Linked DNA regions of Notamacropus eugenii. The protein of the gene in region 2 purifies or fractionates together with the protein of the main gene of each other region. This does not show direct contact. Links are inferred from orthologs where the notes say so. Each region holds a gene or a part of one and is shown on either strand. Other genes may lie near its edges.

The links. The genes of interacting proteins can lie anywhere in the genome.
Region 1: the proteins of KLHL15 (region 2) and NUDCD3 purify together in Homo sapiens (co-immunoprecipitation; 3 studies listed by BioGRID and IntAct, with this or other methods). This does not show direct contact. The link is inferred for Notamacropus eugenii from reciprocal best matches to the Homo sapiens genes KLHL15 and NUDCD3.

What each region holds. Positions count from the first base shown.
Region 1 is NC_092872.1:522,770,463-522,777,589, reverse strand, and holds the start of NUDCD3 (nudC domain-containing protein 3), read left to right. Parts: upstream 1-4,123; 5' UTR 4,124-4,495; coding exon 4,496-4,687; intron 4,688-7,127.
Region 2 is NC_092876.1:452,963,392-452,971,144, forward strand, and holds the start of KLHL15 (kelch-like protein 15), read left to right. Parts: upstream 1-4,743; 5' UTR 4,744-4,830; intron 4,831-5,211; exon of another isoform or gene 5,212-5,299; intron 5,300-5,414; exon of another isoform or gene 5,415-5,519; intron 5,520-5,561; exon of another isoform or gene 5,562-5,735; intron 5,736-7,753. UniProt on the Homo sapiens protein: Substrate-specific adapter for CUL3 E3 ubiquitin-protein ligase complex.

The sequences.
Region 1 (7,127 bases), on a different chromosome or scaffold from region 2:
TCTAAAAGAGTGAAACGCAGTGGGGAAAAGCATTAGATTTGGAATGAAAAGATCTAAGTTTGATTCTAGCTCTGCCACTTAACTACTTGTGTGATCTTGGGCAAGTCTCTTCACCTCTGGTCTCAGTTTCACCATCTACAATATGAGATGGCTGAACGAGAAGAAAGGGTCTAGTTTTTGCCATAGTCAATTGACATTTATTAAGTGCTTTCTAGGTGCTAGGCACTGTGTTAAGTAATAGGGATTCCAATACAAAAAAGGCAATCTCTATTCTAAAGGAGTTTACAATCTAGCGGGGGAGTATTGGGAAGTTCCTCTTTAAATGAGGAGAAATATGTGTTTTTTTGTCTTTTTTTTTTCTGCAATTCCACCCCTTTTTTCTAATTATCTTTTCTAGGGCAGGAGTTCTTAAGCTATTTGTGTATCACTTACCCCACTGGGGCTCTGGTAAAATTTATTCTCAGAAACTCTTCTTGGAATAATGTTTTTAAATGCATAAAATAAAATGAATTACAAAGGAAACCAATTATATTGAAACTGAAGGATTAAAAAACAAACAAACCTAGTTGATAGATTCCAGGTGAAAGGCCAAGCACAAATCTAAACCTTCTTCTATATGACTGATTGAAGGATGAGGCCATGAACTTGCAATCTCCATTTAAGGAGACTTCAGTTTAGAAAACTCACTTCTTACCTGGGTGCTCTACCTTGGGACTTCCCTGCCTTTTTCCACTAAGCCACCATGTTGGTTATTTCTTCTCCTCCTTTCCCTTTCTTAGTTTCCTTTTGAGTCTTACTTTCCTTTACTGGATTGCAAATTCCTTGAGGAGCTTTGTATCTCCAGTGCTTAGCACAGTACCTGACACATATTCAGCCATGTCTCACTCTTAGTGACTCCAATTGGGGTTTTCTTGGTAAAGATCTTGGAGTGGTTTGTCATTTTCTTCTCTAGCTTATTTTATAGATGAAGAAGCTGAAGCAAATAGATTTAAGTGACTTGCCCAGGCTCACATGGCTAATAAGTGTCTGAGAGCAGATTTGAACTTAGGCTTTCTTGACTGCATGTCCAGTGTTCTATCCACTAAACCACCTAGCTACTTGAAATGGGGTTAGGGCGAAGGCAAACCCACCACACATGCTGTTAGCACTGAGCACTGATGAAAAATATCAGTCTGTATGGATTGTCATGAAAGAAATACCAGTGACAGAGATAAATGAATTCTGGAAAAGCTCTTAAGTTCCAGGGAATGTAAGAAGTAATTCCCTGCTTCCCCACGGATTCTGCTCTGATTGCCTGGGCTTGATGAGCATGAGGGGCAGGGGTTTGAAGGAAGCAGGGTTGAGGCCTAATATCTTCTATAGGTCCACCCCTGCTATTAGGAGGTCTACTAGGCCAGGAACAGATGTCAGATCTTCACCTGTCATTATCTAAAGTGGAAAGATTCAGAGGAAGAGTACCACCACACTGAATCCTCCTGGGGCTTAGGGGCTTGGAGAGGAATGGAGCAGTCAGCTGCTGAGCAGCTAAGAAGTGGGGAAAGCACACTAAGCTCACTAGATAGAATCTCTGGCAGCACTGCTTCCAGCCTAATTCTCTTCTTCACATGGCTGTGCCTACCGAACAACTCCAACCTGGCTCCATTGGGGAGCAGTCTGAGGTTTCCCTTGCTTCAGCTGCTGTTGCTGCTGTTGCTGCTGTCTTCACTTGTTTGAGTATGCCCCCAAGTGGCTCAGGGTTGAAACAATGGATATCCTGGGTAACATTAGCCTCCTTAAAACTCTGCTGTACACCTGTGCTATGAGACAGCGAGACCACATGCCCACTATTGCTACTGGGTCTTGGGGCAGCTGCCTCTTTGCCACAACCAGGTCTGCCAGCTCTGACTTGCTGCCAAGTGCCCCCACACTCTGCTCCCAGCTCTCCAACTTCTGCTTTTTTAGCTATGAGACTTCTAAGAAGGCTGTGGGGTTGGCTTGAATGGGCAGCTGGGTAGGTGCAAGGGTGAGCTCTTCATCAATCAGTGTCTTAGATCAGTCACCATTTCCTGGCTTCTTCTTTCCATTTCCATTTGGGCTTTCTCCTGATCTCACTGGAGTTTCTCCTTCTCAGACACTTGGTACTGCTGTGATATTGCTTCAAAGTCCACATTAGCCTAGCACTGGGTAAACACTGTCAGCTCCTGCAGATTTTCCAGTGTCTCCGTCTCCAGCTTGGAGTCCTTGATCTGGTTCTCCAGCCCCTTCATGGAATTATTTAATTCTTCATCTTCTCTTTCCTTCTATAACCTTTTTTCTTTAACTTTCAGGAGTTTCTCAGCCTAGAAATTTCATGTGGCTCCATGATATAATTTGTATTCTCTGGGTCTGTTTTGAAGGTAATTTCAGCTAGACAATAGGTACATTTGATGTGGAAGTGAAAAATTGCAGATATAGCTTATTCTGTACTGTCTTCTTCCAGGCATTAAATTTCTTGCCTTCATAAATATACTCACTACATAAGTCTTATGTTGAATGGGGCCATTGGTCTCACCACATACTGCTGATCTTTGAGCATCTTGAGTTTAGGGATTTTTGGTGGATCAAAATGTTTTTTTTTTTTTCCAAGACATCTTGGTGCCATTTCACTATGGTACCTTTCCCCTCCAAATGCTCCTGGCTAATATGTGGTTTTCAATAAGTCGACAGTGGCCCCATAGGTTGCTGTTCCAGTTTCATCAACTGATCTTCCCGTTACACAATCTATTGGCACAAAAAAGTGCTGGATTTAGAATTAAAGGACCTGGGTTTGAATCCTGTCAGTTGTTAATCTTGGGTCTCCCACTTAAAACTCTCTGGACCTCAGTTTCTTATAAATGTAAAATGAGAGGCTGTTTAGATAAGCTTCTAAGGTCCCTTTCAGATTTAAATCTTGTTATTTTAAGATCCTTTCACTTTTCTGGTCTTCCTTCAGCTTTTTATTGTTGTTTTGTTTTGGCTGGGTCCAACTCTCCATGATGCCATTTGGTGTTTTCTTGGCAAAGATACTGGAGTGGGTTTGGCATTTATTTCTTCAGGTCACTTCACAAATGATAAACCGAGGGGCAAACTGGATTAAGTGACTTCCTCCATGTCCTACAGCTAGTAAGTGTCTGAGGCTGGATTTGAACTCCGATTTTCCTGCCCACAGCTCTATCCACTTAGCTTACTCATATCACCCAAATATGCCCCAGACTGAACTTAGCACTTCAGACTTGGCCTGACTAGGGCAAATTGGGGACCGCATAAAACACACCCCTTTTATCAGCCCAATAAAAATTTTTAAAGCTTTCCAACTTTCTCTTAAAGCAAAAGGTTTTCAGTTTTTAAAATTTCTTTAACTTTTAAAAATAACTTTTACCTTTACATTACCTTCAAAATCTTATGTTCTCCCCAACAGAGGGAAAAAAAGGTAGTTATACTATAAATATAACATTAAATAAATAGCTGTAAAGTTTACAGGGCTTCCGGAGCGCTCTAGGTGTTATCTCATTTGAAAAATTATAAAGAGAAGAAAAAAAATCAGTTTAGCAAAACCAGCCCGGCGCAGCGAGCCCAGAGGGCAATGCTCGGTGCGCAGGCAGCATGACTGGGAGGGTTGGCAGGGGATGTGGGGCACTCCTAGGGCCGCAAGGCAAGCACCGCTCTTGACAACACCCGGGGTCGGGATCGGGGTCGGGATCGGGGTCGGGATCGGGGTCGGGATCGGGGTCGGGATCCAGCGGTGCTCCGCGACCTCGGAATCTCCCTAGCCTCCTTTTCCTGGCGTGCACAACAGGGGGGCTGAAACCGAAACCATTTAACTTCCACACCAGCTGCAGCCCTCGGGGCGTCTGGTTCCAGGCCCGAGGTCACCCCGGTTCTCAGGACGCCGAGCGGACCGAGGCTAAGCACGATTCAGTCCGGAGAAACAAACTTCAAACAGAAAGGAGCCCGAAACTCGGAGTCACGTGACGCTCGGAACCCACGCGCGCGCAGTGGGAGGTGGCGATGTTTTCTCAGTGACGCGCGTACGTCACGTGGAGGGGGGAGGCGTAGAAAACTTCCTTTGCCCTCTTCCCACAGGGTCGTTGGGTGTCACGTGCTCGCCAACCCCCGACTTTCTGGTCTGGGCCCTCTTTTGGTTCCCCTGCTGCGTCGAGCCTGTTTAGCCAGGGCACCCACGCCGGAAATCCCGACGGCGGCGGCGGCCTCGGCGCCGGGGGAGGGACGTTGTCTCCGGAGGCAAGCAGGGCAGACCGGAAGTCCCTCGGTCTCGGCGGCTGGGTGGTGGAGCCGTTGACGGTGCCCACGCTTACACACATACACACAAACACACAAACACATACACACACACTCACACGCTCACATACAGCGGAAGCCGCCGGTCAGAGGCAGAGGCGGCGGCTGACGCTGAGACCCAGGCCGCGGCAGGCCGCTGCACCCCCTGTCCCCGAGTGTCAGTGTCCCTCCCGCCTCGGGGCCGACCGGGCCGGTCGCCATGGAGCCCGGGGCGGCGGAGCTGTACGACCAGGCGCTGCTGGGCATCCTGCAGCACGTGGGCAACGTCCAGGACTTTCTGCGGGTGTTGTTCGGTTTCCTTTACCGCAAGACGGACTTCTACCGCTTGCTGCGCCACTCGGCTGACCGCATGGGCTTCCCCCCCGGGGCGGCCCAAGCCATGGTGCTGCAGGTAACCGGGGGTGGGGGGGGCACGGCGGGGCGGGGCGGCTCGGCGCGACCCCACCCGAGGGCTGCGTCCCTTTGTCACCGGGGGTGTGGGGGGGGGAGCCGCCCTTTCGCCGCCACCTCTGCCCCGGTGCCCGGGATATGGAAGGGAGGGAGCGAGGAGAGCCCGGAGCTCGGTCACCCTCTGTTGGCCGCTTCCCCTCTCTGGCCCGCAGCTTCCTTTTCTGTAAAGTGACCTCTAAGACCTCTCCCAGCTCGGACGCTCTGGGAGTCTGTTTGGGGGGATTTCAGTCCCCTGGGTCTCTCCGGTCTATCCGAGGCCCCCTGCTGAGCTGCCTTCTTTGAAAGGGCGTGACGGGGCTCTTGCTGAGGGGGCCTGAGGACTTGGAATCAATCTGGAAGAGTTGGGTTTTCATTCCTGCCTTCACACCGCTCCTACAGTTGGAAGGAATCCTAGAGGTTTTCTTAGTGCTACCCCACTCGTTTTACCCATGGGAAAATCTGGGAAAAGAACTGAAGTAGTTTACCTACAGTTAAGCAGTGGTAGTGAAGACCTGCCATTTGAACCCAGGTCATATCGCTCCAAATCCAGCTCTTTTCATACTAACACTCTTTACTGTGATCTTGGACAAGATAGTTTCTCTCTGGATTTTAGTTTCCTCATCCGTAAAACGGGGAATAAAAAATAGCATCAACTCTGGCAATATTTTGAGGTTCCAATAAGGTAACGTTTCCTCAGCTGTAAAACAGGGAATAAAAGTAGCATCTATCTCAGGGATATTTTGAGGCTTCTAGGTAATGTATGTAAAACTTTGGCTTTATAAATCTTCAAAGAGGAATATAAATATTACCTATTTTTATGGTGGCCTGGACACCACTGGAGGCTTGGGAGCATCACTTAGAGAACTCCACTTTCCTGAGAGGAAAACATAAATAACCTCAATAGAACTAGAGCTATGTTAAAATGGAATAATTGACCAAGAGGTTGAAGGGAAGGAAGCAGGATCATAGGCTGTCAGGTTGTGGAATGGGCGCAATTTTTTGTTCAAAGTTTGATGAATTTCAAGGTGTCTATTTAAATCCAGAAGTAAAAATATTAATCTGTATCTGAGGTAGGAAGAAATTTCCTATATTAGTAAATTGGTGTCTTATGCCTCTACTAGGATTATAAATTTAAAGCTGGAAGGGACCTTAGAGGACATCCAGTGCAACCCCTTCATTTACAGATGAGAAAATTGAGGCCCAGAGAGATTAAGTGACTTGGCCAAGGTGACACAGATGTAAATATCAGAGGTGGGATTTGAACTTAGGTCCTTTAACTTGAAATCAAGTGCTTTTCCATTGTACCATCATGAACTGTGAATTATTTGAGGGCCAGCATTGTGTCTTTTCTAACCTTTCCTATGACCAGAAATTTCATCTAATAGTTCTGTACAAATAATAGTGATGATGATGATGATGATATAGATCACATTTATATGATGCTTTACATGTTATTTAATTTTCTCCTCATGACAGCCCTATGAAATAGATACTGTTATTATTTCCATTTTAAAGATGAGAGAATAAGTTCAGAGATGTTAAGTGACTTGCCTGGGTGTGAACATACAGCTCGCAAATGTGTGAGGCAGAATTGTTTTTCTTTTGCTTTTAAAGATATATTTTGTTTGTTTTAATCATCCAAGATCTGTCTTTTCACCTTTGTAACCCAATCCCCTACTTGAACATAAGAAAAACAAAAGCCATTACAAACTTGTATGGTCAATCAAAGCAAAATTCCAAACGGGTCTTGTCCAAAAAAAATTTGTCTTAGTACTTTACCTCTCAGGAGGTAGATAGCATATTAATTTTCTGGAACCCTGGTTGGTCATTATGCAGATAAAGAGTTTAGCACAATAGTATTCTATTCCATTTATATACTATATTTTGTTCATCTATTATTCAATTTATGGGCACCCTGTCAAGTTGCCATTCCTTGCCACCTCAAAAAAAGCTATTTTTTTATATCTTTAGAGTTTGTTTTGTTTAAAACTAATCCCTCCCTTGACTTAACCTTTCCTCTAAGACTCCTTTTCCCTAATCCCTGTTCCCTCCTATTTCCCTGTTGAATGAAAGGTATTTCTGTCTTCATCTGAGTATGTGTATTCTCCCTTCTTTTGACTATTTTGAATGAAAGGAAGGTTCAAATGTCTCTCTGTTCCCCCCCCTCCAACCCCTCTACATTCATCCTGATAAAGTAAGGTAATTTTCCCTAACCTTCCTTTCCCTTTTTAATCAGGAATGTTTGAAAGTTGTCTGTTTCTTTAAGAATCTGGTTTTTTTTTCTCCCATAATATTGCATTCAGTTTTGCTGGTAAGTTTTTCTTGACTATAAAGCCCATATAGCTTTTGCCTTCTGGAATATTATATTCCATGTTCTCTATTCCTTTATGGTGGTGACAGCT
Region 2 (7,753 bases):
AATAATATTTTCAGTTTTTACTTACAGGGTTGTGAGGAAAACCAAGTTGTAAATGTTAAAGCTCTATAGAAAGGGGAACCCATTATTACTGCTGTTCGTTGATAGCAGCAGGGTTAGCAGAATAAAGAATGTCAGTTACTTTATAAATGTTAGCTATCATTATCATGATATTAAATAATATCATTTGAAAATAAACCCATTGTATTTTTAAGTTTTTAACTCTAACCACCAGGGGGGGTTCTTGTTCCTCATTTTTTACTGGGTGAGGCGAATGACATCATGATGTTGGGGTCAAGGTACATCTCTTCCCAGTGGTGTTGTTCATCCTTCATTCTAGTTCTGGAAGAGGACCGATGACATCGTGAGGGTGGTATCTTGACTTCCATGGGAATTGGATTTAAGTGAGGCAGAGTTGCACAAATATGTGTCAACCTTGCTCTCTCTTCCAGAGTGATTGAAACTCAGTTGCGAGACAGAAATCAAGATGACCAGGAATGGCTCAGGATGCAGTGGATGACCTTGCTGTCTTTGATGCCTGGCCAAACTCTAAAAACTCCATAGCACCTACTTCTGCCAATTTCATGTCCCACTGGAACAAATTGTTCTCATCTGCCTATTCTGATGGAAGTTTTCACATACTTACAGCAGACATCCCCCTCTGTTACCCTTAACTTGGTTTAGCCTATCTGCCAAGACAATTTTACCAGGGTCTGACCACCAAGCATGTTTCTTGCAGCTACAAGTAAGAAGTCGGTAACAGGGGGATACCAAAGGTATATGAGCAGCCCTGGAAAAGGCTCAGCAAGTCCTCACACCAGAAGTACTAGTTCTCTCTGAATGCCCTATACACGCCTACCAGGGAATATCATCTCCAAATGCCTGACCTTATTTGTTGGTAAGTTAAATGCTAACAGTCCCATGCTCACTTCAACAGTTGAGTACTCCCAGCAATGCCAGAGGGTGGTGTGGGGGTAATGCCAAGTTCTCTGCAGTTCTCAGAGCATTAGTTACTTCTGTATCTTAGCTCAGGAATGTGTTGGAACTAGCTCAAACAGGCTAGGGCAAACTGATGATTAAATTTTCATTGTGGGCATTATGCCTTGGAAATAGGCAAATGTTACATCTCAGGACTTTAATTATTGTTTTGTTGATTGTCTAGAGTCTCTAGACTTAAGAAAATGATGGAGAAAATGTTAATAATGCAGATTAAACTTTAAAATGCATCACATGTACATTTCCTCCCAGAGATCCAGTTGTTGAACATTTTTGGGCATAATCCTGCCCTATACCTTTTTTTGATTATAGACATGTACAGGTAGTACAGATTTTTTAGATTCATCCATTTAGACTCTTATGACTCATGGTGCTCCTTCCCCTCAGAAAACTCTAGGCTGATCCTTTCAGTGATATTTTTATGGACTTCTAACACACACACAGAGCATAATAGAGTCAGTCACGCAAGGAAGTATATGTTCTTTTCGTATATGGAAAAAAAGAAATACTAAATACATGAAGAACAACCACTGTGAAGGCTGAAGGCTCATAGCTCATCTCAAGTCTAGCTAACCCAAAGCAGTGCTGTTTGTAGGTATGTCCTCAAATTCAGGAATTCAAGGAATGCAGTTCAGATCCTTAAATTTAGACTGTACTCAAAGAAAACTCAGGCATTTAAGAGACTTAGTTTAGAGACTTAGATTTAGACCTCCTTAATTCTACTGTAGGAGTATGTGTTGGGGTGTGTGTCATATTTGGATCATCCACTCAAGAAGTCCCCACAGCTAAGCACTGAAGGACTCAGCTGAATCCTCCCATTCTCACTCACTATGATGCTGGCTAGAGCAGGACTCTAAATGGTTTTTGCTGTACTGACACTAGCAGCTTCCAGGGAAAGGCTTGGCACAGCAAATGGTTGACCAACATTACATAGTTTATTTCTAAGCAATCTGGTAAGAAGACAAACAAAATGCCTTTCCCTCAGCTCCATCTTCTAAAGTCCCCTCTCTGTTCTTGCTTCTCAAATTTGCACATAGTGTGGTGGTTGTCCTTTGTTCTCAGAGAGGACCACATGATAAAATGAAGTTTCATTATGTACGACCGTGGCTGATCAGACCAATTCAAGCTCGGAATGCTCTGCCACAGATTGGGCACAGAAAGTCTGTGTGAACATTTGGGGTGGTTATTCCAAATTTGTGCATCCTACATTTCCTTTGTGCTGTTTCAATTCTGCTTTGCTCATAGAGCACAGCACCTTTTTCTGATGTGGGCATGCCATGCTGAGTGGTCCTGTCTCCCATGTCGCACAATCAAATCCAAAGTTCGAGACCTTGAGAGAGTCTTTATATCACTTCTTCTGACCACTATGTGATCACCTTCAAGACAATCTATTCCCTTTACCTTTATAGAGATGGACAATGGAGGCATCTTTGAACTCCTGGGGGGATAACTTCCTCTTGCCATATAACTTGGAATATTTCAGTCAGCTTTTGTGTGAGCAATGGTCATGTGCTTTGCCAAATAAAAGGAGCCTAATGGCCCTCCAAACCTCTTCTTCAGTTGGAAGTATAGGTAAGGAGGGATTGACTTCAACCTGAGGTAAACAGTCAGTGACCTCAGCATTAATTGATGATGATCTGGTGAGAATACTACAGAAGTGTTCAGCCCTTGTCTCTAGGATCATGTCCTTTTCACTAATCAATGTGGCTCCATCAGCACTGAGTAGTTGTGATGCACCATAGGTTTTTGGTCTGATATTTTTTGCTGATAGTAACAATCCAAAGAGATTTTATGATTTTATGATTCCCTGAAAGCTATTTATGAAAGCACACACAGTCTGTGACCTAAATCACTTCCATCTCATATCTATTTCTCTATTGTCTCAGACGCCCAGAGAAAGCTTTGTGGGCATACACACTTTCAAGGGGTCAGAGCTCCTCAGTTAAAACACCTAACGTAGTTGTGCAGTTGTTTTACAGGAGGTAGAGTATCTTTTTTGAGCAACAGCAAGGTTGCTGGTATCACTGGATCACCGTGGAGAGTAAGATGTAAAAAGCCTGGGAAAGTAAAGGCTTTGAATGCCAAAGAAAGGATTTTATATTTGATCCTGGAAGTGATAGGGAGCCATGGGAATTTACTGAATTTTGTTATGCATGTTTCAGTCTTCTTTGGTTATGTCTGACTGTGACCCCATTTGGCATTTTCTTGGTAAAGATCCTGGATTGCCTTGCCATTTCCTTCTGCAACTCATTTTACAGAGGAGGAAATGGAGGCAAACAGCGTTAAGTGACTTGCCCAGGGTCACATAGCTAGTTTGAGGCCATTATTTGAACTCAAATCTTCCTGACTCCAGGCTGTGTTCTGTTCACACGCCTAATACAGAAGTGTTAACCAGAAAAGTCCCAGTAACAAATGAAAGCACTGAGCAGAGGTATTTCCTTATTTCTAAAATGAAGGTGTTAGACTACATACTGTGACCTTAAAATTTAGATTCTATGTGCTTCACAGGTAGTTCCTTCCTCATACTTTTAAAAGTCTCTGGGTTTTTTCAGTGTGATATGGCTATCCCTTCCTTATTTATTTTCATGTGGTCTGTTTCTGCAAAATGTATACGTATGTTCTTTTGGTCTGCTGAAAATTGTTGTTTGCTATCTTCCTAGAGAAAAGTCTTATGAGGGTCTTTCAAAATTTTTCATATGATTTCATTTTACCTGGATGTTTGTTTATACTCTAAACTTATCTGAGAAGTGAAAAACCAAAAACTATAATGGCATTTATCCTCTCTATTTGATAATAATAAATCTCTTAATTTAATGTGCTTTTGGAGTAGGAATGCTGACCTCCCAAGTATTTTCTCCCTGTCCTTTCCTTCACTTTTTCTAGAAGAAAACTAATATTAGTAGATTTATAAAACAGTTTATAAATGGTACTTTTATATTTCAGGAAAAAAAACGGAGGCCAAGAAAAATCGACGTTTTTTAACAGCTCTAATTAGAATCTGGGTGTTGGTATGTAAATAAATATTGAATGTGACTTGCCTACTCAAGATAATCTGAAATTTTCTTCTATTTTCTTTCGGCGCAGATAGAAATAGAGCAGTGTTTTTAGATTGCTCAATGGTGCCCGTGTGCCATTTTCTATAAATTACCCCCCACTGGGAGAGGTACAGCGCTGAGCAGGTAACTGCGGTGCTCGAAGCCGAGTGGAAATGTGACGCAACACTTCAGCGCAAGTTGCCTGATAAAAATGACGTCATTTAGTGCAGGGGGAATCACTCTCAGAACACAACTGCGCCCATCCTCCCACCGCCTTCCCCACACCCTCCCGTCCGGTGATGCCCGTTGCTGTAGCCTCTTCGGTACCCGGGGGGGCTGCCCAGGGTGGAAGGACAAACATCTCTGCCCCCTGGCACAGGAGCCAAGGGTCCTGCGCATACGCGCAGAGCGTGGTAGCATCCCAAAGAAACAAACGCTTGCCAGTTTTAAAGCCATCGCGGAAGCCCTTAAGGACGCTGCCCGGGCTGGGACGCCCCCGGTGCCCCCCGGAGAGGGGTGCCCCCCGGAGAGGGGTGCGCCCCGGGGCTCGGGTGGCGGTCATTCCTTTACGACAGGCCCATTTGCCATAAGGGGCAATCGCAGGCGGGGACTCGATGACGGGATGAGAGCGTGGGCCGGCGCCACCCCAGGCCCTTCCGCTCAGGGTCCGGTGACTCCCGAGCCTGGTCAGCTTCGGGCTTCGGGCCGCAGGTGGCGGCGGCGGCGGCGGCGGAAGTGACGCACGCGCGGTGCCCGGCGTTAGAAAGAAAGATGGCGGCGCTGGCGCTGGACCAGGGGGAAGGTAAACACCGGTCAAGGCTGCTGTTGTTGCTCCGGGGAAACTAGTCTTTCTTCCTTCCGACCTCTTCCGCAGCCTCGCGGCCTTTCCAGGAACGAAGGAGGGCCGGGGGCTGGGGGATGCCTCCCCCGCTTCCTCCCGCTGTTCCCCACCCCCTTCCCTTCCTCCCTCCGCCCGCCGCGGGTTTCTCCCTGGGAGTGTGTGTCTCCGCCGCGGAGCCTGAAAGGCCCGGCTGAGGGGCGGGCGGGCGGGCGGTCCGGGGGAGGAGGCCCCGCGGCGGCGCCGGGGCCGGGGCCAGGGCCGGCCCGCGGGCACGGGGAGGAGCGGCCTCGGCCTCCCGGCGTGGCTAAGCTCCGGAGCCGGGGGAAGCCGGAGCCGAGGGAGGCCGGGCCCGGGGGAGGCCGGGCCCGGAGCCGAGGGAGGCCGGGCCGGGCGCCCGCCTCCCTCCCCCCCAGCGGAGCCGCTCCTGCAGGTATCGCCGTTATTGTCGTTACTGGGCCTCGGAAGCGACGCTGGGGTCCCCGGGGCGAGGACGGGGTGGGGGGGACCCCGGGAGGCTGAGTGGCTCGTTTCTCCCCAGGGCAGGGACGGCGGGGGCCGCAGCCACCCCAGCAGCCGGCGCGCAGGCTCCCCCCACGCTGGCCTCCTCGAGGTGCCCCGGCCCCGGCCTGGAGGGAGGAGCCCCTCTAGAGGTGAGCAGCGGCGGCGGCGGCGGCGGCGGAGGAGGGGGAGGAGGAGGAGGAGGAGGGCGCAGTCTTCATGGCCTCTTCTGCCGAGTACCGGGACGCCCGCGAATCCCCATGGCCGAGGTGCTTTTCCTGATGCAGACGCCAGTCCACTCGTAACTGGACCGAGCCCCCCGAGGTGCGTATCCGGCCCCCGCCCAGGCTTTGGGAGAGCTCATTTCGGTAAGACTGCTAATGGAAGCAGGGTCTTGGCCGAACTGAATTCCCAGCTTCTCCTGCCTTCCGATCCCGAAAGTGCCCTTAGCCTTGTGTGCATTAAAATGGTCCGGACATTCGTGGGGTTTGTGCTTCCCGTGATGGAGCACTGGCTTTTAAACCAAAGGCCCCCAGCTCTTCTTAGGAGTCATGCAAAAGCGCCACATGTATGGAAATGAGGGTTAGTAGGAAGTTTTTTAAATGGATTTAAATTCTAAGAGATGTGTCATTTTCCCCTTTTTATTTTGATATTTTAATATCTAAGAGAGCAAAGTCGTGTCATACAGATATGTCCTAACTTTGGGCTCCATTTTTACCTCCTGATCACTGTCTACCGTCTTTCCAGACATTTTACATTCCCCCTTTCCTCTCTGTTACAGCCAAACTGACTTTCTTGGTATTCTCTGAATTTAACTTTTCATCTCTCACCTCTGTGCCTTTCCGCAGGCTGTCTCCAATGACTGAAATGCATTCTTTCCTAACCTTCAGCTTTTTAGAATGCCTAGCTTCCTTGAAGACTCAGCTCACATGCCTTCTCCGATAAAGATGCCTTTACTGATTTACCCCTTCATCATTCCCCTGTGCTTTATATGTGGTGATACAAAATGAAGAAGCCACTTTGTTAAGATACTTTTTAAACATTAAATTAATTTCATTTTTTAAGTCAAATTTTCTCTCATTTCGCATTGGAAATTTAAAAAAAAGCAAAGCAAAATGGAACCTTTGTGACAAATATACATAGTCAAGAAAAATAAACATCCTTCCTTTGGCCCTGTCCAAAATTTATGTGACCCATTTGGCATCATGAGACTTGAGGAGGTAAAGAGCTTTGGTCCTCCGGAATTGTGGTTGGTGCCTTCCTTGGTCAGAGTTCTTAAGTCTTTCCAAGTGGTTTGGCTTTATTTATGGGGTTGTTGTCATTGTATAACTGTCTTCCTGGTTCTGCTCGCTTCACTGCATCAGTTCATACAAGTCTTCTCCTCATTTCTTATGGCACAGTAGCATTCCATCACATCCATATTCCACAGTTAGTTCACCATTAACCGATTGCTGGTAGTCCTTGGTTTTCACTTCTTTGCCCCTACAGAAAGAGCTATTACAAAACCTTTTTATACATTTTTGCCCTCTTCTTTCATTGATCTCTTTGGGGTACAGGTTTAGTAATGATATTGTTGGGTCAACGAGTACATACAATTTAGTCACTTTTTGTGCATTGTTCCATAGTGCTTTTCTGAATGGCTGGACCGTTTCCCAGATCCACCCATTAATGTGTTTCTATTTTCCCTGCAACCCCTCCAATATTTGTGATTTTTCTTTTTTTGTCAATTTTGCCAATTTGATAGGTATAAGATGGAACCTCAGAGTTGCTCTAATTTACGTTTCTCTATTGGCAATTTGCAGTATTTTTTACATTGCTATTGATGGCTTGGATTTCTTTCTTTGAAGGACCTATTTGTATGTTTTGACTCTATGTTGGGTGGGGAATGACTCATTTATAAATTTGAATCGGTTCCTTATGTATCTTGATAATGACTTTTTTCAGAGAAAGTGCCTGCAAAAAGAATTCTCCTAGTTAACTTTTTCTTCTCATCTTCTCTGCATTGGTCTTGTTCTGCAGAAACTTTTAAGTTTTATGTAATCAAACTTTTCTACATGGTATTTTATAATATAAACTACTATAATGTTAAGTTGTTTTGATGATGTGAACTTTAATCTTTATAACATTACTTTTACAGTACTTCCACATTTATAAGTAAATTGTAAATTTCAGAAAATAACTTTGTTAAGTAAAATAATGTCCACAAAGTGTCTCATTTTATCTAGTTTAAGCACGTAGTTGTTGAATCATTTTTCAATTTTCTCACTCTTTGTGACCCCATTTGGGGTTTTCTTGGCAGAGATACTGGAATTGTTTGTCCTTTCCTTCTCCAGATCATTTAACAGATGAGGAAACTCAGATAAGCAGGATCACGTGACTTGCCCAG